4 linked regions of the Arabidopsis thaliana genome follow. The main gene of each other region encodes a partner of the protein of the gene in region 2 in a complex. Each region holds a gene or a part of one and is shown on either strand. Other genes may lie near its edges. The genes, in order: TRIP-1, EIF3E, TIF3H1 and EIF3K.

Evidence for each region.
Region 1: EIF3E (region 2) and TRIP-1 share a complex: the UniProt entries of both Arabidopsis thaliana proteins name them as parts of the eukaryotic translation initiation factor 3 (eIF-3) complex.
Region 3: EIF3E (region 2) and TIF3H1 share a complex: the UniProt entries of both Arabidopsis thaliana proteins name them as parts of the eukaryotic translation initiation factor 3 (eIF-3) complex.
Region 4: EIF3E (region 2) and EIF3K share a complex: the UniProt entries of both Arabidopsis thaliana proteins name them as parts of the eukaryotic translation initiation factor 3 (eIF-3) complex.

Annotation. Positions count from the first base shown.
Region 1 is NC_003071.7:19,002,620-19,007,500, forward strand, and holds TRIP-1 (TGF-beta receptor interacting protein 1), read right to left. Parts: upstream 3,114-4,881; 5' UTR 2,889-3,113; exon of another isoform or gene 2,803-2,888; 5' UTR 2,775-2,802; coding exon 2,591-2,774; intron 2,443-2,590; coding exon 2,227-2,442; intron 2,132-2,226; coding exon 1,998-2,131; intron 1,901-1,997; coding exon 1,781-1,900; intron 1,671-1,780; coding exon 1,581-1,670; coding exon of another isoform or gene 1,560-1,580; exon of another isoform or gene 1,488-1,559; coding exon 1,401-1,487; intron 1,301-1,400; coding exon 1,221-1,300; intron 1,113-1,220; coding exon 1,037-1,112; 3' UTR 539-1,036; downstream 1-538. Other genes in the region: GBF3 (G-box binding factor 3), read left to right, coding at 1-17, 103-282; AT2G46290 (Transducin/WD40 repeat-like superfamily protein), read right to left, coding at 3,291-3,366, 3,469-3,548, 3,636-3,722, 3,818-3,907, 4,010-4,129, 4,230-4,363, 4,460-4,675, 4,811-4,881. UniProt on the Arabidopsis thaliana protein: Component of the eukaryotic translation initiation factor 3 (eIF-3) complex, which is involved in protein synthesis of a specialized repertoire of mRNAs and, together with other initiation factors, stimulates binding of mRNA and methionyl-tRNAi to the 40S ribosome.
Region 2 is NC_003074.8:21,195,967-21,201,111, reverse strand, and holds EIF3E (eukaryotic translation initiation factor 3E), read left to right. Parts: upstream 1-1,792; 5' UTR 1,793-2,038; coding exon 2,039-2,258; intron 2,259-2,356; coding exon 2,357-2,511; intron 2,512-2,619; coding exon 2,620-2,847; intron 2,848-2,936; coding exon 2,937-3,058; intron 3,059-3,378; coding exon 3,379-3,598; intron 3,599-3,677; coding exon 3,678-3,820; intron 3,821-4,016; coding exon 4,017-4,154; intron 4,155-4,226; coding exon 4,227-4,326; 3' UTR 4,327-4,595; downstream 4,596-5,145. Other genes in the region: INO80 (DNA helicase INO80-like protein), read right to left, coding at 112-544, 666-1,044, 1,149-1,236, 1,441-1,500. UniProt on the Arabidopsis thaliana protein: Component of the eukaryotic translation initiation factor 3 (eIF-3) complex, which is involved in protein synthesis of a specialized repertoire of mRNAs and, together with other initiation factors, stimulates binding of mRNA and methionyl-tRNAi to the 40S ribosome.
Region 3 is NC_003070.9:3,607,095-3,612,485, forward strand, and holds TIF3H1 (translation initiation factor 3 subunit H1), read right to left. Parts: upstream 3,523-5,391; 5' UTR 3,206-3,522; coding exon 3,196-3,205; exon of another isoform or gene 3,080-3,195; coding exon 3,000-3,079; intron 2,834-2,999; coding exon 2,717-2,833; intron 2,618-2,716; coding exon 2,514-2,617; intron 2,428-2,513; coding exon 2,361-2,427; intron 2,088-2,360; coding exon 1,954-2,087; intron 1,869-1,953; coding exon 1,820-1,868; intron 1,684-1,819; coding exon 1,612-1,683; intron 1,522-1,611; coding exon 1,420-1,521; intron 1,335-1,419; coding exon 1,267-1,334; intron 1,082-1,266; coding exon 929-1,081; intron 849-928; coding exon 791-848; 3' UTR 537-790; downstream 1-536. Other genes in the region: Z-ISO (15-cis-zeta-carotene isomerase), read right to left, coding at 1-355; AT1G10850 (Leucine-rich repeat protein kinase family protein), read left to right, coding at 5,134-5,391. UniProt on the Arabidopsis thaliana protein: Component of the eukaryotic translation initiation factor 3 (eIF-3) complex, which is involved in protein synthesis of a specialized repertoire of mRNAs and, together with other initiation factors, stimulates binding of mRNA and methionyl-tRNAi to the 40S ribosome.
Region 4 is NC_003075.7:16,038,101-16,042,422, forward strand, and holds EIF3K (eukaryotic translation initiation factor 3K), read right to left. Parts: upstream 2,709-4,322; 5' UTR 2,518-2,708; coding exon 2,404-2,517; intron 2,314-2,403; coding exon 2,257-2,313; intron 2,164-2,256; coding exon 2,050-2,163; intron 1,820-2,049; coding exon 1,769-1,819; intron 1,688-1,768; coding exon 1,621-1,687; intron 1,427-1,620; coding exon 1,344-1,426; intron 1,161-1,343; coding exon 966-1,160; 3' UTR 551-965; downstream 1-550. Other genes in the region: CDC20.2 (Transducin family protein / WD-40 repeat family protein), read right to left, coding at 3,133-3,276, 3,370-3,951, 4,032-4,301. UniProt on the Arabidopsis thaliana protein: Component of the eukaryotic translation initiation factor 3 (eIF-3) complex, which is involved in protein synthesis of a specialized repertoire of mRNAs and, together with other initiation factors, stimulates binding of mRNA and methionyl-tRNAi to the 40S ribosome.

The sequences.
Region 1 (4,881 bases), on a different chromosome or scaffold from region 2:
CAAATGCAACCTTGTTGGTAAGTAAGCTATCATTAACCAACAAATTATCTTTATGAAGGCGTGTCATTTTCTTGAACATGGCCGGTTCTTTTTGGGTTGCAGGACAAACTGAAATGCTCGGAACCCGAAAAGAGAGTCCCCGCAAATATGTTGTCTAGAGTTAAGAACTCAGGAGCTGGAGATAAGAACAAGAACCAAGGAGACAATGATTCTAACTCTACAAGCAAATTGCATCAACTGCTCGATACGAAGCCTCGAGCTAAAGCAGTAGCTGCAGGCTGATCGATGGTAATTCATGTCGATTTCTACTTAATTTGTCGACATAAACAAAGAAAATAAGTGCTACTAATTTCAGAAAAACTTGATAGATAGTATAGTAGAGAGAGAGAGAGAGAGAGAGGTGTGATGATTATTGATCTATAAATTTTCGGAGAGAGAGAGGGAGAAAGAGAAACTTTTCCTCCAGATGAAAATTTGGTGTTATGGTTTGTTACTGTTAATATAGAGAGGCTTTTCTTTTTTTATAAAATGGCTTCCTTTGTTGCATTTCCTTGTTTTAGACCTGATGTAATTTTATGAAATCGGTGTTATTGCTTTGCGTAAGCTTTTGTTTCTTTTGTCAAGGTTTCATGCATAAAGGATCTTTCTTTTCAGGTTTCATACATCTCTCTCCGAAAATTTATAGATCCAATAATCATCACGAATATCACAAACATTATGAGTCTGTCTTTGGGTGATTTTCTTCGCTACTCTTGAGGACTGTCAATCACACAAGGCATTCTTTTCTACAACCGAGTTTATTTTATAAAAGCTGAATATTAATGCTCGCTCACACATAGAGCAGGTTAATTAACTTGTACTGAGAACTCTGGAAATGAAAACTAAAGATTCTGTCAAAATTCAAAAGCTTTATCATCAAGGTATTTGTATTGGTAGTAAATAAAAACATGAAAATGTTAAAAGAGAGAGAAAACAAAATCCGGAATGGGAGACTTTTTCAAAGATTCTAAAAGGTTGACGTTCAAGTAGTCGGAATCTAAATCTTGATGTTGAAGTAGTCGGAGTCAAAATGATGCAGCCTCACGTAACCGTCTTCACCTCCACTAGAGAAACTGAAATATACATTCCACAAACTCAGTGAGAGAGCCAAAACACACACTCAAAACCTCATCATGTGAGGATTGTGTCAATCAATCAAAATCCAAATGTTGTTAATTTACCTCTTCCCATCAGGATTGAATGCCAAAGCATTTATAGGTCCAAAATGACCTTTCACACCACCAATTTCCTCTTGCAGAATCTATATATTATACCAAACACAATGATACACGGTTATTTAAATATGTGTATTTTCCAGGTTACATGTTTCCAAGTAAAACACTCTTATTATAAACACTAACCTTGTCGTAAAACTTAGCTTCAAACTTTCCAGCACGATGATCAGTGGTAGTCACAGCTGATGCATCTTGACCACCTCCAAGTACAACCTAAAAGAGAGAGCAGAAACATTCACAAAGATAACATCATGCCTTGCTGATTCTGGGATTCGAAATTGAATTTCATGAAGCATTAGTGCATACATGGTTGAGAAGTGGAGACAGGGAGACAGCATTTACGGGCACCACAGTGGTGTAAGTCTTAAGAAGAGTCAGCGTTCTCATGTCCCAAAGCTGAAACAATCAACAAAAGAGAACACTCTATTAGATGATTTATATCTATATGTATAGTGCAAAAATTTGAAACAAGATATACTGTACAAGTAAAAGAAAGAAGCACATGCCTTTGCAGTTTTGTCAAGTGAACCTGTAAGGAAGTGAGAGTCATCAGCTGCTTTGCAGAGCGATGTAATGTCCTTCTTGTGACCCACTTCCTCATCTGATTGCTTGAGCAATTTTCCCGTCTAGTAACAATGGCAGTAGCACCACATAAGGTTTAGTTCATAACCTTAAAAGAGAGAAATTAATACACAAGTAAGGCCTTAAGAAAAATTGAAATACCTCGGCATCCCAGATTCTGATAACTTTATCTTCACCACCACTAACAATAGTTTGGTTCAGGGGACCCCAAACAGCTCTATTGATCCTCTTCTTTCCATCAGGACAATGAAGGACAAGCACAGACTCAGCATCCTCTACACAATTGCATCAAACAAACAATTTCCTTTTAACACATACAAGAAGTTGGCTAAAACGTAAGTAGTAATTCAGCTAGGAATGTACAACTTACGTTCCTCAGGATCTTCCGCAATACGCTTCACATGAATAGCAGCGGTACGGTCCACGAAGTGATCAGTGGTAATCACTGCAAGACGATCTCCAACAGCGAAATCCACAGACCTCGTAGGGGCATTAAACTTGAAAGTGAACAATTCTTTTCCAGATTTTACATCCCACAGCTTTGCAGTCTGATCAGCACTACCAGTGATCAATCTTGACGAGTCTCCTAAGAAATCACTAAACATTCAGCTTTGAAAGACTAAGACGACAGAATTCACTCGATACTATAAACCCTAAACAAGCTTGTAGCTAAGGGGAAACAATGAATCTAATCATCGACTCGATACTATTTGAAGAGAAATTGAGAAACTTACGGGAGACATCACAGCACCAAACAGCACCGTTGTGACCACGGTAAGTTCCAAGGCGCTCGCCGTTATCGGCAAACCAGAGGGTGGGTGTGTGGTCCTTGGCGCAGGAGAAAAGCAGATCTCCTTCTCTGTTGTACCTCAGAAACGTCAATGGACGTTCATGTCCCTTCATCAGGATCGGCCTCATCTTCAGTTTCTTAGGGTTTGATGCGAATCTTTGAAACAGATACGAAATCGAATCAATCAAAAGACAAGAAAAATAATTGAAGAAACGATTACGGAAAACGGCTTTCTTCTTCACCTGTTCACTTGAAGACGAGAGAGACGACGAGGAAGAAGTGCAAAAACCCTAGGAAATCAACTTTGTCCTCTCTTTTGACACTTTTACCCTTTTGTAATTTTTTAAATTACTCGAGATGCCACAGTTTAGCAAAGCTCAGTGGCTTCAGCGTTTTTAGCTTCTTCCCTATTTGATGAGTTCGAACCTCGCCCGTTGCGCCTATTTTGTTTTTTTCCTTTCTCAAAAGCAGTTTCATACGTTTTTTTTTTGTGGGTGCATATGTCTATTTGAAAAGACAAACAACAAGCTTTATCATCAAAGTAGTATATTGGTAATTTGGTAGTACATCAATTCTGAAAATGTTAAAAAGAGAGAAAATATTATGTGGAATGATGAAAAAATGGAAAGACATGTTCAAAGAATCTAAATCTTGATGTTGAAGTAATTGGAGTCAAAATGATGCAGTCTCACGTAGCCGTCTTCACCTCCACTAGAGAAACTGAAAATACATTCCAAAAAACACTCAGCAACAAAGCCTAAAAAACACTCTCATCAACTGAGGATTGTATCAATCAATCAAAATCAAATTTTGTTAGTTTACCTCTTCCCATCAGGACTGAATGCCAAAGCATTAATAGGTCCAAAATGACCTTTCACGCCACCAATTTCCTCTTGCAGAATCTATATATTATAAGACCAAATACACAGTTACATATCTCTTTCCAGGTTACAAGTTTTTAAATAAAACTGTTTTACTGCAACACTAACCGTGTCGTAAAACTTAGCTTCAAACTTCCCAGCACGATGATCAGTGGTAGTCACAGCTGATGCATCTTGACCACCTCCAAGCACAACCTAAAAGAGCGAGAGCAGAAACATTCACAAAGATAACATCAAGACTTGTTGCTTTTGGGAACCGAATTTGAATTTCAAGAAGCATTAGTGCATACATGGTTGAGAAGTGGAGACATGGCGACAGCATTTACAGGCACCACAGTGGTGTAAGTCTTAATAAGAGTCAGCGTTCTCATGTCCCAAAGCTGAAAGAATCAACAAAAAGAACACTCTATTAGATGATTTATCTCTATATGTAATATGTATAGAGCATATTTTTGAAACAAGTAAAAGAAAGAAGCACATGCCTTTGCAGTTTTGTCATGTGAACCTGTAAGGAAGTGAGAGTCATCAGCTGCTTTGCAGAGGGATGTAATGGCCTCCTTGTGACCCACTTCCTCATCTGATTGCTTAAGCAATTTTCCAGTCTAGTAACAATGGCAGTAGCACCACATAAGGTTTAAGCTAATAAAAAAAAAAAGAGAGATATTGATAGACAAAAGAAAGGCCTTAAGAAAGTTGAAATACCTCTGCATCCCAGATTCTGATAGCAGCATCTTCACCACCACTAACAATGGTTTGGTTCAGGGGACCCCAAACAGCTCTATTGATCTTCTTCTTTCCATCAGGACTTTGAAGGACAAGCACAGAATCACCAACCTCTACATCAATTACATTAAATCAATTCCTTTTACCCATACAAAAAAGACATAGGCTAAAAAACATAAGTAGATTTTAACTTAGAATTGACAACTTACGGTCTTCGGGATCTTCTGCAATGCGTTTGACATGAATAGCAGAGGAAGTTCCCACGAAGTGATCAGTGGTAATCACTGCAAGATGATCACCAACAGAGAAATCCACAGACCTTGCAGGGGCACCAAACTTGAAAGTGAACAATTCTTTGCCAGATTTCACATCCCACAGCTTTGCAGTCTGATCAGCACTACCAGTGATCAATCTAGACGAGTCTCCTAAGAAATCACAAACAAAACACTAATCGTTAAGCTATGAAAGACTAAAACAACAAAGACAACGACTTAAATCCTAAACTGAATCCATTCCATCCACTATATACTATTTGAATTTGAGAGGCTGAGACCACTTACTGGAGATATCACAGCACCAAACAGCACCACTGTGGCCACGGTAAGTGCCAAGACGCTCGCCGTTATCGGCA
Region 2 (5,145 bases):
ACAATGTCGGAACAAAAAGATAATGTTGTTAATAAAGCCATGAATGAGCCATGAATGAGCCATGAAGGATTCAAAACTATGATTCATAAAATACTGCCACAGAATCCAAACCTCGTATGTATCCCCCTTCTCCAGAATCTTCACGTAATGGACCTGTAAAACACCACCCTCAGACAGAATTGTCCGTGCAGTACTTCCAGCAGATCCTTCTGGAATGGCAGAATTCATTGCAGCTTCTGACACCTTGAGGCTAAAATTTGGGGTGGAGTTTGAAGGTGACAGGGCCTTCATTCTAGCTTGAAGAGATTCATATTGAGGTCGAGGCTCACCCATTCCATTACGGCTTCTTACTCCAGACCTTTTATCACTTGCCATCAGTTCTGCTAATGATCTCAGATCCAGAGTTCCTTTCAAGTAAAATTCTTCCACATGAATGTCTGAAAAGCTCGGTAAGTTTAATGATGCCACCAGCTTGTCATAACTTGGGGGGATTTTGTAGATGACACCATCACCAATGTCCAAATACGAAGGTTCATATGCTATCCTGCAAATGATGCAAAATTCAACGTGTCAATCTAGGAAACCCAACACCGTAAGTTATCTAAGCGGATTACACAGGGTTACACGGATCCCATGGAACATGAAAAAACATATGATCAACATACTTGGGTGTAATATCACGATCATGGTAGCTTCCTCGCCTATGTGGGGTCACATCAGCTGCAAAATTTGGAGAGTTGTCCATGTCATAGAACCTCCCATGGTAATCATTCCCTGGTTTCCTACCTCTGTAACTGCCCACATTGCTCTTTAGCACCGGAAAACCCATCAGATGAGGAGGATTCCCTTGAGTCTCCTTGGACCTATTTTTGAATTTTTGTACATGCTCCCCAAGCATTGATCGGTAGTGCTCCTCAGTAACATGTTGATTGTAGAGATCATCATCGTCCTCTGCATCCTCAGCTTCTGTCCACCGCTTTCTCTTCTTGGAGCTCGCATTCATTCTCGATTTAGACCCATTGCTGTAGTTTGCCACTACCCCACCTTTAACCATTACCAACCATATAGACAGAACACAGATAAACGTCACTTAAAACTATCACAGTAGGTGGCAAAAGTAATTCCATAAAACCAATTAAAAACTGTACCTTGAGTGCTTCTACTTTCATCCTGGCTACTACTCCCATAATAATCAACTTCATCTTCAGGTTTCGGAATTCTAAACTTCATCAACGGCTGCAAGAATGAAGAATTTAGCCACAAAACCCACACTGAATTTCAACAGTAAAACAAAAACACACTGTAGAAACAAGGAGAAGCTATACAATTGCAAGATTTCCAATCACCAAAACTACATTCATCACAGTCACATGATCATCATCCAACAAGTACAAACCATCAATTTCAAGGAAATCACAAAAAAATTGAGACCTAACAGACCTCGAGATCGAATAGATTCGCGTAAGGAGAGTCCTTCGGTGGTCGTCTTGAAGGATCCATGAGAGACGGGAAGAGAATAACACGGCGTCAAAATTTTGGAGAGTCTTAATCCTTAAAAGCTTCTAGACAGAAACATTCGTCACGAGAAAGAAAAAGAGTTCGTCTCGAAGAAGAACCCTAATCCAGTATGATAGAGGAAGAGGGCGAAAGGTTAAAGACGAACATGCGCAAGTTAGTGGACACAGGCGGTACAGAAAGAAGTCCAGACTACTAACATACGCCAAACGAATAAAGCTTCTTACCGTGCGCCTCTCCACAAAAAACATTTAATTATTATTTTTTCTTAACCCCTCCGGTACCGGCCGATCAGATAACGACGGCTAAGTTATCGTTTTGGAGATAAAAATACCTTGTGGGGTAAACAACAATATATAAGAAGTAAAGGGGCGAATTTATAAATATTGAAAGCTCATATTCGAGAAAACCCTAATTTCAATATACAGGATTTTTTACCTCGTCGTCTCTGAAACTTCATCTCTGCCGTCTTAAGAAGATTTTGCCAGTGCGGGAAGCGGCGGAGATTGAGAGATTAGCGACGATGGAGGAAAGCAAACAGAACTATGACCTGACGCCACTAATAGCGCCTAACCTGGACAGACACTTGGTGTTTCCTATATTCGAGTTCCTTCAAGAGCGTCAGCTTTACCCTGATGAGCAGATCCTGAAGTCTAAAATCCAGCTTTTGAACCAGACGAACATGGTTGATTACGCCATGGATATTCACAAGAGTCTCTACCACACTGAAGACGCTCCTCAAGGTATTCTTGTGTATTCCTCTCTGGATATGTCTGTGAATTTGCGTTTTTGTGTACTGGTTTGTTTGTTTGATGATGAATGTTGAAATTTGTGGTGATAGAAATGGTGGAGAGAAGAACAGAGGTTGTCGCTAGGCTCAAATCTTTGGAGGAGGCTGCTGCACCACTCGTGTCTTTTCTTTTGAACCCTAACGCTGTGCAGGAGCTAAGAGCTGACAAGCAGTACAATCTCCAAATGCTCAAGGAACGCTACCAGGTTGTGATTTGGATGATTAAGTTGTTTAATTTTGTGAAATGTTATCCAGATTTGGTTTTGTTTGTGTATTGTGGAACACAAATCTTATATGGCTTGGTGTCTTATCAGATTGGTCCAGACCAGATTGAGGCTTTGTACCAGTACGCCAAGTTTCAGTTTGAATGTGGCAACTATTCTGGTGCTGCTGATTATCTTTACCAGTACAGGACCCTGTGCTCTAACCTTGAGAGGAGTTTGAGTGCCTTGTGGGGAAAGCTCGCATCTGAAATATTGATGCAAAACTGGGATATTGCTCTTGAAGAGCTTAACCGTCTCAAAGAGATTATTGACTCAAAGGTTAGTATTTAAAACTTCTTCTAGTTTGCGACCTTTGAAATCAATATAGATGTGAGAGTATATATGCTAACTACCATTTGTTTTTTCAGAGTTTTTCATCGCCGTTAAACCAGGTGCAGAACAGGATTTGGTTGATGCATTGGGGTCTGTATATCTTTTTTAACCATGATAATGGAAGGACACAGATCATTGATCTTTTTAACCAAGACAAGTAAGCCTCTACCTCTCTGTTATCTGCATCTCTTCTTTATACCTTTCATCACCATCTATTTCCTTGCGTTTTAAGATAAGCATGATCTAGATGCGATGAAGTTATGTATAGGTGGTGTTTGTGTGTAGAACTTTGTTTATAGTTAATGTTAGTCCTGATGTGCCTACAAGTAATTAGCAGTCACTAGTTTTAGAGTCTTCTCCTTCTTTTCATCCAGACCTATTCTTAAGATTGTGCTTTGTGTATGGGCATTTGCTGAAAAATAATTCACTTTGTTTTCATGCTGCAGTTCTGTATACTAATTTGATTTACTTTTTCAGGTATCTGAATGCCATCCAAACTAGTGCTCCACACTTGCTGCGCTACTTGGCAACTGCTTTCATTGTCAACAAAAGGAGAAGACCACAATTGAAAGAATTCATTAAGGTCATTCAGCAAGAGCACTACTCCTACAAAGATCCAATTATCGAGTTCCTGGCATGTGTGTTTGTCAATTATGACTTTGATGGGGCTCAAAAGAAGATGAAAGAGTGTGAAGAGGTAACTCATCCACATGTATAGATATTTTTGTTTGTGCAGAACTGTGCAATCAATACTCTGACATTTTAACATGATGTAGGTCATTGTGAATGATCCATTCCTTGGCAAGCGAGTTGAGGATGGAAACTTTTCAACTGTACCACTGAGAGATGAATTTCTTGAAAATGCCCGCCTATTCGTCTTTGAAACCTATTGCAAAATTCATCAAAGGATTGACATGGGGTAAGTTCTCACATTTGGTTGTATATGTTTACACATAACTCTGCTCTCCGGATTGCTCAATGTTTGGAATTTTCTCTATTCCTTATCTTTCCCAACACATGAAAATTGCCATATCCAGCTATTTAAGTTGAGAAGAATTGTTGCGGTCTTGTGGTTTAACTTTGTACTCATGTCGAGCCTATATTTCCCTTGTCAGGGTACTTGCTGAAAAATTGAATCTGAACTATGAGGAGGCCGAGAGATGGATTGTGAACCTAATCCGCACCTCAAAGCTTGATGCCAAGATTGATTCTGAGTCAGGAACTGTAATCATGGAGCCTACTCAGCCCAACGTGTAAGTAGAATAAGCTTAAATCTATGATATCATTCGTATTCTACAATCTAATCTTGTTTCCGCTTTATGCAGGCATGAGCAGTTGATAAACCACACCAAAGGCTTATCAGGACGAACATACAAGTTAGTGAATCAGCTCTTGGAACACACACAGGCGCAAGCAACTCGCTAGTCAAAATTTTGCTGTGGAAGCCTTTCCTTGATAAAACTCACCTTCGGTTGACTGGAATTATTTTCTTTTTCTTGCTCTGAGTTCACCTTTTACTTTGAAAAAGATTATTATGGAGTTGTTCTATTTGAAATGTTGGATCCACAGATTGGAACATTTTCCAACCAAATCAGCATTTTGTATCCACCCTAAGCATTTAAAGGTTTTTGCAAGCCAACGTAAATTACTGCCTTACATTGAGCATCTCTGATTTGCGTAATAGTAAGTACAATAATAGCATATAACAGAAGTAAGAAAAACAAAACTTAAGAGTTAAGACTATGACAGTGGAAAGAACAGGTCACAAACAAAACAAGTATATCAATTCGTAAATAGTATAAAGTTACTCCAGAAGTCCAACTCGCCAGAGTCATCAAAAGAGAGAAGATAAATTCAATTTCTTTGGAGGTGGGTGCCCTCCAGAGAGTACCACATAAGAATAGAAACACAACATGCAATGGAAATGGCATATAGTGTGTTTTGATCTTTCCAGTGGATCTTTTGAAGCGAGTATGAAAATACCATTTACCACTGATGGTCGAGTTACTATAAGCAACATGAAGGACCGTTTGTGTATATCAGAGGGGAAGGACATGAAACAAGAGATATGGTCATTAAACTCTCGCAAGAAATGGGAGAAGACGTATTCGATTGATTTGAATAGAACTTCCATTTGGTGTCGCCGCCATCCGAATTTGCCAACAAAAACAATCACAACATTTCAGAAAAATAAGATTTTGCTTCATAATTGGAAGATAACTGGCCGTACTTTAATTATACATG
Region 3 (5,391 bases), on a different chromosome or scaffold from region 2:
TGGAATTATCGATCCAAACAACATTGAGGATAAAGAGAACAACTCCAAGGACAACACCGAAATAAACCCAGGAAACAAGCTTCTGTTTCCCTAATTCAAAAGCAGCAGAATCTTCACCGATCAGTAGAGTAGGACTACTCTCGGAGTCAGAGGCGATGGGTTGGTCTTCCCGGAGAGTGCTACGAACCAGAATTTTCCGAATTACCGGTGACGAAGAAGAAAGCAAGCTGGTCGAGTTTCCGAGGCGAGGATGAGCTGGGATACGGCGGATTAAGGTGAGGTTAGGGCGGCGAGGAGAAGGAGGGAGAAGAAGAAGCGAAGGTGGGCTCGAGAGAAGGAGATGATAAACCGCCATTGTTCTTGTTGGTAAACAATCTTTCGAAGAGGAAGTAATAAAAAGATGTCGTTTTTAAATTTCTTCAAACAATCGTCCGAAGAAGAAATAATAAACGTTGTCGTTCAAGGGATTTAGCGATGGAACTAACACTACAACTATAATAAAATCTCTATAAATTAGATTTTTTACTCTTTTGATTAGGATTTTGATAACTATGTATAATTTGTTGTAAGGCAATCAGAGGTCCAATACAAGATAAATCTTTCAAAACTTCAATAATTTTTCATTATGCATAAGAATAAAGATTTTTTTTGAAAAGCTTGTAAATTAAATTACTTCACAACAACAAAAATAAAAACAAAAACATCCACGAAAAACAAATATAGGATCCATTCTACCACCAAGTCTTTCACTTTCTGACTCAAAAAACAAAAACTTGGGTAGTCTTTGCAATCAGTTGTCGTGCAATGCTTTGGTCAGGTAAAGCCTGCTGAAGTTCTGGCCAGCCACTCTGCATAACAACAGGTCGACTCATTTTAAGTATCTTTCAAAGCTCCAAAAATGGTGAAACAATACTAAAGAGGAACATACCCATTGATTTGGCCACAGAAGTTTGAGACTTGGTTTGTGATGAGGAAACTCTCTAGCCTAGATGGTTCAGGGATCGCCTTAAAGATTGGGTTTGAAGGATCCTCTTCTGGTAAAGGCTCCTCTCCAGCTGATTTACGAGCCATGTTCTCCGTTCTATAAACCAAACACCTCTTTCATTAGTTGGAAGATCAAAAGGACAAGGAAAAGCTGAAGACAAATGTTACAAGGCATTCACAACTCTCGTAAGTAAAGTTGTATCACCTTCCAAGATAACGAGGTAGTGAAACTAATCAAACCTGAACTAGAACAAAAAGGTTCTGCAGAAAATATAAACCTACCTTCTCTTCTGGAGCCAGGCTTGCTGTTGTGCTTGCTGACGAGACAGGTTCCGGTAGTAATACTGGAACTGGAGAAATAAATTAAGATTTTGCGTTAAGATAGTTCGGACTTCTGATGATGAGAATTGAACAAGAGTGCAGAAGAAACCACACCTTTTGCTGTTCCATAGATAAATCATCCATGCATTTAATCAAAAACTCCATATTGTTCTCAAGGAAAGGAGTGGTTGATGAGTGTAGACGATCATAATCGCCCTAGAAAGGCGAAAATACAGAAGTATCAAGAGTCAAAATCTGCAATGCTGACAGCAAGCAAGGATCACTATCCAGATAGTAGTATTGTACCTGTGAGACAGGTGTATCAGTCTCCAGTTCGGTCATAAAGGCACTGACAAGGGCAGAATTTGAAACCTTGATCTGTCAAAGGAAAAGTAACAAACATTTAAACCACTTTTTTTGTCAGAGGAAAATATAATTAGGTAACAATTCCAACCTAGTGACTTGAAAAGATTAGCTGGTAAGAATTCAATATAGAAGAAAGCTAGAGACTTACAGGTATTTCCTCAAAAATATCCATCCAGGAGAAATTTTTCTCTCTCAACCTGAAAAAGATAGTGATTAAAACGTTACAACTATCATCCTAAGTGGCTCATAAAACCTAGATTTTCAATGGATCAAGATACATACTTCTCGCCAGTAAAGTTTCCACCTCGGTACAACTCCATAAAGGAATCTGAAAGCTTCAAAGCCTTCAAAGCTAAGACGCCTAGATCAGCTTTAGAGGGATCATATATGATGCACACACACCTCTTGATATTCTCCTGTAGATGCAGAAGAATCATTTCTTAAGAGTTCATATCATGATTCTGCAAGGGATTGTAACAGAGTTGCGGACAAAAAAAGTCTCAGAAAATATATTCATGATCCAATTTACATTCAACTTTTACACATGCCAATATACCTATCATACACTAGAGTAGCCATGCTATACATATAAATTTCCAGCTGAATGAAGAGCATAACATATGAACAGACCAAATCTAGAATGTTATAATGACATGGTAGACAGGATTCTTTAACAAAAAAAAAAGTACCTGGTAATTCATGAAGGTCTCAATCAGTTCCACAGTCTGATACGAACCAAGAACTGTAGATTGATACCTGAACAAAGAATTAGGCAGATCTAAATACATTCACAAGAAAAAATTTAACAAGTGAACTCAGACTGATGTCATTAAAAAACCTACCAGCCAACAGTGTTGTTGTCAACATTAACCTCCCTCAGACATCTCATCATCTCAAGCTGATAATTAGCACCATCAGCTTCAATTTCTTCATCATCATCCCTGACCTGTCCTCGTTTAAGATACAAATTCCAGTAAATCACATGTACATCAATCATGAACAAGCTCTTAAATCCTCACAATGCGTGTAAAATTCATCAACATACCGGGAAAGGAAAACAATTGGTAACTTCGAGGACGCTACCAACATCAAGTCCAAGAAGCTGTCCAGTGACAAGGGTCGGTGAAAACTCCTTGCAGTGTTTGATTATCTTTAGTACAGCCTATCACAATAGCAAACAAAATTCTCAGCATCACAACTTCCTACCAAATGATAATGGGCAAATTAGCTTCACCTAGAGAGTTTTTATTTATCAAACACCATCGGTCAGCAGAAAACGAGGAAAAACACTTAAAACCGTAAAATCAGGGAACACTAAGAAACGTTACCAGTCCTTCGATCTGAACAACTCTAAGCGGAGGAGCCACCGCCTCATCCTTCGATATCGCCTGCAGAAACGACCTAGCCACTGCAGAAATAAACCACGGAAGAAACTTAGCACGACATATACAGAAATCGTCAATAAACAGATGCAAATATTAATTCTATGTCCTAGTGAAGAACAGAGAGGATGATTATACTGACTGGTTGCCATTGAAATAGTCTCCGGTGATAGTGAAAGCTTCCTAGGTCAAAGAACTTGAATCTCCGCCGTGAAACCCTAACGATGTGATATTTTTACTGCCGGCGGCGGAGATGAGTAAGAGAAAGAACTTTATGTGTTTGATAGGGCTTCTCGAGGATCCGCAGATTTTTTTTTCCCTTCAATTTGGGTGTAGAGAGGAAAAAAAAAAAGCGTTTCGCAGTTAAAATTGCAAAAGAGCCCTAAAATTTGAGATTCTTATAGAATGATCCCTAAATGTTTTCCGACCTATAATAAGGATGGACCCAGCCCATGGACCTATAATGCTATTCTCTTGTAAAAGGCCAGGACCATAATATTCCTCAAAATATTGAACATTTAATTTAATAGCATGGGCCCATTACACTAACCAACTAGTCAAAACTTAGTAAGAAAAAACAAACAGTCATGGAGTCAACTAGAATCCAAAACTTTTAGAAACTTTCCCTCCAAATTCCATCCGGTATTAGGGTTTAATCGAAAAAGAGGACTAATTCAAAGTCTAATCTTTAGTAACCAACTTTAAAAAGTCTATAAGACATGGTCATTTCATAAGTCCGTAAGAAAATCAACAATGTCCTAAATAAACGGCAAAAACTAGAGAATCACCACTGGTATCAAAAAACGTAAAACCAAATATATAAAACGTATTAAATGTACTATAGTTTATTACTCGAAAGTCGAAAACCTTGATGATTCATTGAAGGTCAAAGAAGTCAACAATAATATTGATGCCAAATTAAATGACTGCAGTCTCTTTGCGAGGTTGGTGTTTGGACTGGTGGACCGCTGGTTAATAATTAACTCAGCCTTTACGTGAACTCAATTCTCACCTCTTCTTTATTACATTTTCATCACGCTTAAGCTAAGCAACTAATAAATTCCTAATTTAATAAACACTTCAACATCCTCGTTTTAGAGATTGAATACCAACCATGAATGTTAACACATCTTTAACTTTCCTCTCAAACAAAAATCCAACAATCTATATCCTCATTGTATAAATAACATGAGGTCCATATTAAAATACGATTAAAAATATTATAAAAACCATGTGAAGATTCAACAAGAAAAAGAGGTAGGAAAAAAAAGCAGCTCAATAATTGGTAGAGAGTGCAAAGAGGAACCAGACACCAACTGAATAAAATTGAAAAACAATGTCTCTCCTTACTTTAAATAAATCATCCCTAAAATTAATTATTCCCACCATATTTCTTCTGCTCCATACCACACTTCACCATAAAATCTCTATATAAATTTTCTCAGCAGCAGTAACTACCTTGGCCCCAAAACCTATCTGTCTCTGAATCTTGGCAAAGTAATAGCAACCATAACAATAACGACAAAAATATACGTGAATTATTTTTCTCTTTCTCCTTCGTCTCTCCTTCATAAACCCATTATTAATTTTTTTTATAATACTACTATTATTCATGAATGCATTGAAGATGTCACAGTGAGAACAAAAAAAAAGTTTTCCAGGCATGGCTTCACGTGATGACATCTTCCTCGACCAAGAACTTCGAGAAAAGATACTCAGAAAGTGAAGTGAGAGAGAGAGAAAATGCCGGGGAATTTTAATGCTTCTTCTTCTCTTCTTAGTGCTCACTACCAGAAGATTTCTTTCCGCCATTAAAGAGCAGAGTAGAGCAGAGCTCTCACTTTCTTCTTCTTCTTCTTCATTTTTTACCTTTCCCTTTTTTGCTTCGATCGAGATGCTTTAGCATAATGGGGCAGATCTGGAAAGTGACTTAATAATAGAAAGTGATGGCTTTGAGGAGATTCATGGGATGCTTTTTATGGAAACTCGATTTCGAACTGTATCAATCATTTCTGTTTCTTTTATGAGCTGAGGAAAAGAGCCACTCTTTCTGATTTGATTGATTCATCATTCATCGACAATGGCTTCTTCTTCTTCTTCTTCGTCTTCGAGTACGGTGTCGTTCGTAGTCTTTGCATTTACAGTCTTCTTCTGTTTGGTTACTCCGGCGAGATCTAGCGACGTCGAAGCTTTACTAAGCTTGAAATCTTCAATCGATCCATCTAATTCGATTTCTTGGAGAGGAACAGATCTCTGCAACTGGCAAGGTGTTAGAGAATGTATGAATGGAAGAGTCTCCAAGCTTGTTCTTGAGTACTTGAATCTCACCGGCTCACTT
Region 4 (4,322 bases), on a different chromosome or scaffold from region 2:
CCACGTATCTTAATTAAATCTAACTTGTTCACTTCAATCACATATTGTATCTTCATTAGTCTTCATTATGTCGACTAAATAAAATAGAAAAAACAAATCATTAGGTTCATGATTGTCAAAAAAACAATTATAAATAAAACACCGTTCATTGTTGTCGATCAAATTGAAAATTTATATATTATATTCATAAAATTCAATTATTTATTCTGTTAAGCAATTCAAAAAAGTCTCATATATGTACAAAATTACAAAACTAGTTACATCAAAATCAAAAGTTATGATCTTGGGAATAACCTAGTTGTTAGTAGAATAATAGTATTGTTTTAAGCAATCATCTTAGATACGAGATGATCTAACTAATTATAGTTTAATCAGTCAAATTTATCACATAGGGAGCAGTCAAAATATGCATGGGAAAAGAGAAAATTGTGCACGTGACATGATTTGGTGTCAACATGTGAGCTTCCAAATGGATGGCTGTCAATCTTCGTATGTGATCTGTGTAGAGAGGACGACAAGACATAGACAGTCTCTTTGTATTTCAAACTTTCTCAATACAAATTTGCCGTGTCAGTTTCTATATTCCAAGAAACCTAAACAAAAGTTTTTTTTTTCCTTTGCTTTTTAAAGAAGACAATTGTTTGGGTTGTCTGAAGATTCGTTTAGTTTATTTAGATGTAATGAAGTAAACAGAAGATAATCAATCAGAAACGAGCCAATTCCAACACTTGTTGAGAAACCAGTATTGGAATCCATGGAAGGTAAAAAAAAAGGTAAGAAGCAGAGCTCAGACTATGAAGATCTACTAATTATGGCAAAGTCTCGGTCTACTAGATTTTTAAGAAAATCTGTCAAATTGCAAAGAGGAAGGCCATTGCCAAAATTCACATTACGGTGTCTTAAAAGTGTACATCACAAGATAACAAGAGACAAAAGGAAAATTTGCAGTGTTCTCATGAATTGGTTCAACCAAGGATGGGGAAGATGCGGGCAATGTGTTCCAAGGGAACATTCTCACCTGTATTTTTCTTGAGCTCCGGATGGTTAAATTCATTTTGTGGTAAGACAATACTTCCACCCTCTTTCTCAACAATCCATCCACTGTTAGTCACTTGCTGCTCGATGAATTTGTCTAGAGATGCACCATCCATGTTAACAGCCTGTGAAAATTGTCATTTATTGACAAATAAAAGGTCAACAAATTAGATTTCCAGAACTATGATGTGGAATATTCGTAACAGAAAATTATATGAGAAAGTAAAAGATTTCACATCCGAAGTTCTACTATTTTGATGACTTAAGCTATCCGTGGTGAAAACGAGATCATAAACCAAACATCATACCTCAGCCAGCACTGATCTTGGAACCTTTTGGTAGCTTAAGCTAAGAAGGTGACTTGCATATGCTTGAATAGCTTGCTCAAAACCTGCATTTAATCTCTCGCATATAAGACATCTACACTAGACACAATCATAAAATGAATAGACAGTACCATAAACCACTACTGAGGACTTTGTTCGTACCATAAGACATCTACACACAAATATCCTTAAGTAACAAATCTACATCTAGAAATTTGTTATTAGTAGACGATTTATTTATGATTCAGAAGTTAGTTACCTGGAACAGCCTCGAGAATGTGACGGTTCTTGGCAGCTTCATCCCAGAACTGTTGGAACCTCCCAGTCTGCAAAAGAAAAACAAGTGCTTTAAATACTCAATGCACACCTTTTCAACTCTCAACTAACTAATACTGATGTTTGCGTACCTCAAGGTAGTGTGATAGAACAATTAGTGACTTGAACTGCTCCTCCATTTGCTGAAACACACAATCCAAACAAGTACATTTATTAGTCCTCAAGAATCCAACACATTGAAACTCACACTTTATCATGAATGCTCAGTACACAGACTGAACTGACAGAAATAACTTGGAATGGCATAATAACTTGAGTCAGAAACATTTGAACAATCGTTTCTTCTGTATCTACGATAAGCTATATATGTAAGAAAGCAAAACATTGTGAAGTTAAGAGGAAAGAAGAATACCACTCTTTCGGGAATCAAGAAGAGGCAAAGGCTGAAGTCTGGAGTTGGCATAGCCATAAGAGCCTTGACCAAGATTCGAGCCACGATATGAGTGTTCATGCGCTCAGGCTCAAACTGCATAAAAGCAACAATACCAATTAACGAAAAGAGACACTAAAACTCTTGAATTTGGTATCAAAAGGTCCAGCTTAAGAACAACTAGAGCACCTGATAGAGCCGAAGCAAGCATAGGTTTACTTCCAGACTATACGTTTGCGATGTAACCTGAAAATCATAACGAAACCAACAACAATCAATGGAACACGATTTCTACAACAGAATCCGGCTTGAGAGAAAAGGGAAAGGAAACTGCACGTTAACGTAGTTTTCGAGATCAGGCAGGATTTCAGGGTTGAAAGGATTAAGGGCGACGAGCTGCTCAACGGTGTAAGAGCTCTGTTCCTGCGGCGATTGGATCTCTACTCCCATCTCTGCCTCTTTCTCCTTCTCCGTTTCTGTCCCTTTTGCGTCGGTCTCTTCGAACTTTGATAGATCACTGAGGAATGTGCAGAGGAGATTCGCTGATAAGACGAATCTAGGGTTTAAAAGCCAAAACGACAAAGCTTTGTCGTTTGGGCTAATGGTGCAATTGACAAAACGTTTGGGTTAAATTAGGATGACAGAGAAACTACAAAGGGTTGTTTAGTAAATAACTATTTTTAAGCCATTTTGATGCCACAGACTCGGTAAATAAATATTTTCTCAGTTTGCTTTTAAAGATTGATACTACACTAGAGTTTGCATTCGATTAACCATGGTCCAAAAGTTCACCAGTGAACATCTTTTCAAACAAAACTGTCAGCATCTACGAGTTCTCTGATCACAACTTCATGAAGTCTCACTTTGTTTCCAGTAGAATAATAAATGTGGATATCCTTCAAGAGTATAAAATCATAATCTTTCTTTTTTCAAATTTCAATATATACAAGTAATCTTTATATTCACGAAGAATGAATCCTTTGGTAATAAAATAAAAATAAAAATATATAGTTTCTTTTTGTAACAATCAATGGGTTTTCCTTGTTGTTTTAGTCTTCAACAGCTTCATCGAATACGATTCACATGAGAAAATGGCTCGGCAACTGCTTTTGGTGCAGCTTTTTTTGCAGTCTCTGGTACTCCAAAAACGTTCCAAAACCTCAGGGTCTCGTCTCCTGCTGCTGAAGCTACAGTACAACCATCTGGACTCTGTAGAAAACACAACAAACAACACAAGTTTAAGGACTGAATGACCTCAAAGACTCAAACTACTTCACCACTTAAAGAAATTGATGACGTTACCTGGGCCATATATAGAACTCTTGATGTATGACCAGTGAGCTCAGCCATTTTCACCATGGATGGGTACTTCCAAAGTGTAAGCTGATTCTGTGTAAACCCATGTGAGCTAAGCAACTCTCTTTCATTCTTGCTCCATAACAACGAACAAACTTGGGAACCAGTGTCTACTGAATTCAAGCAAGCCCCAGTGTGAGTATTCCAGAACTTTATCGTCCTGTCTCCTCCACCACCACCAGTTGCAAGCAAATTCGCTTGGAAAGGGCACCACGCAAGAGCCTTCACAGCAGATGTATGTTCCTCAAGCCTGTGCAGCCATTGTGTGGTTGAGTTTGAGGAAGCGACAGAACGATCCCAGATGTGTACCACATTGTCGTTGCCACCACTTGCTAGTTGTTGTCCAGATCCTGACCACTTGAGCCCACAAACTTCTTGAGTGTGACCTCTGTAAGTTTCCACAATGGGTGATCTGATCCTCACATCATTGTTGATGATCAGTCCATCCATTCCTCCAGTAGTAAGGATATGATTGTTCCATGCCAGTGATCCTACTCTTGACTGGTGACCACCCTTTAATGTTCTCAGCTGCAGAAATATGAGAAACACATCAGACTAAGAACACCGGATATTATATCTCAACATAAAAGAGAGAGAGTAGTAATTACTTGACGGTTGGATGCAGAATCCCACAGCTGGACTTCAGAGTTGTTGAGTCCAACTGCAACATGACGACCATCAGGAGCCCAGTTGATACTTGTGACAGGTCCCTTCTCCTCATCAATGGTCACAAGCTCAGATGTAGAACCAGTGGAAGCATCCCACAAGTAGACAGTGTGGTCCAACGCTATGGCTAAGACATTTGCACTTCCCCAGTCCAGCAAGTTGAGGTAGAAATCGTCAACAATGTCAGGTGCATCCAAGGTTCTCTCAGAAGTCTGTTAATCACAACAGAAAGT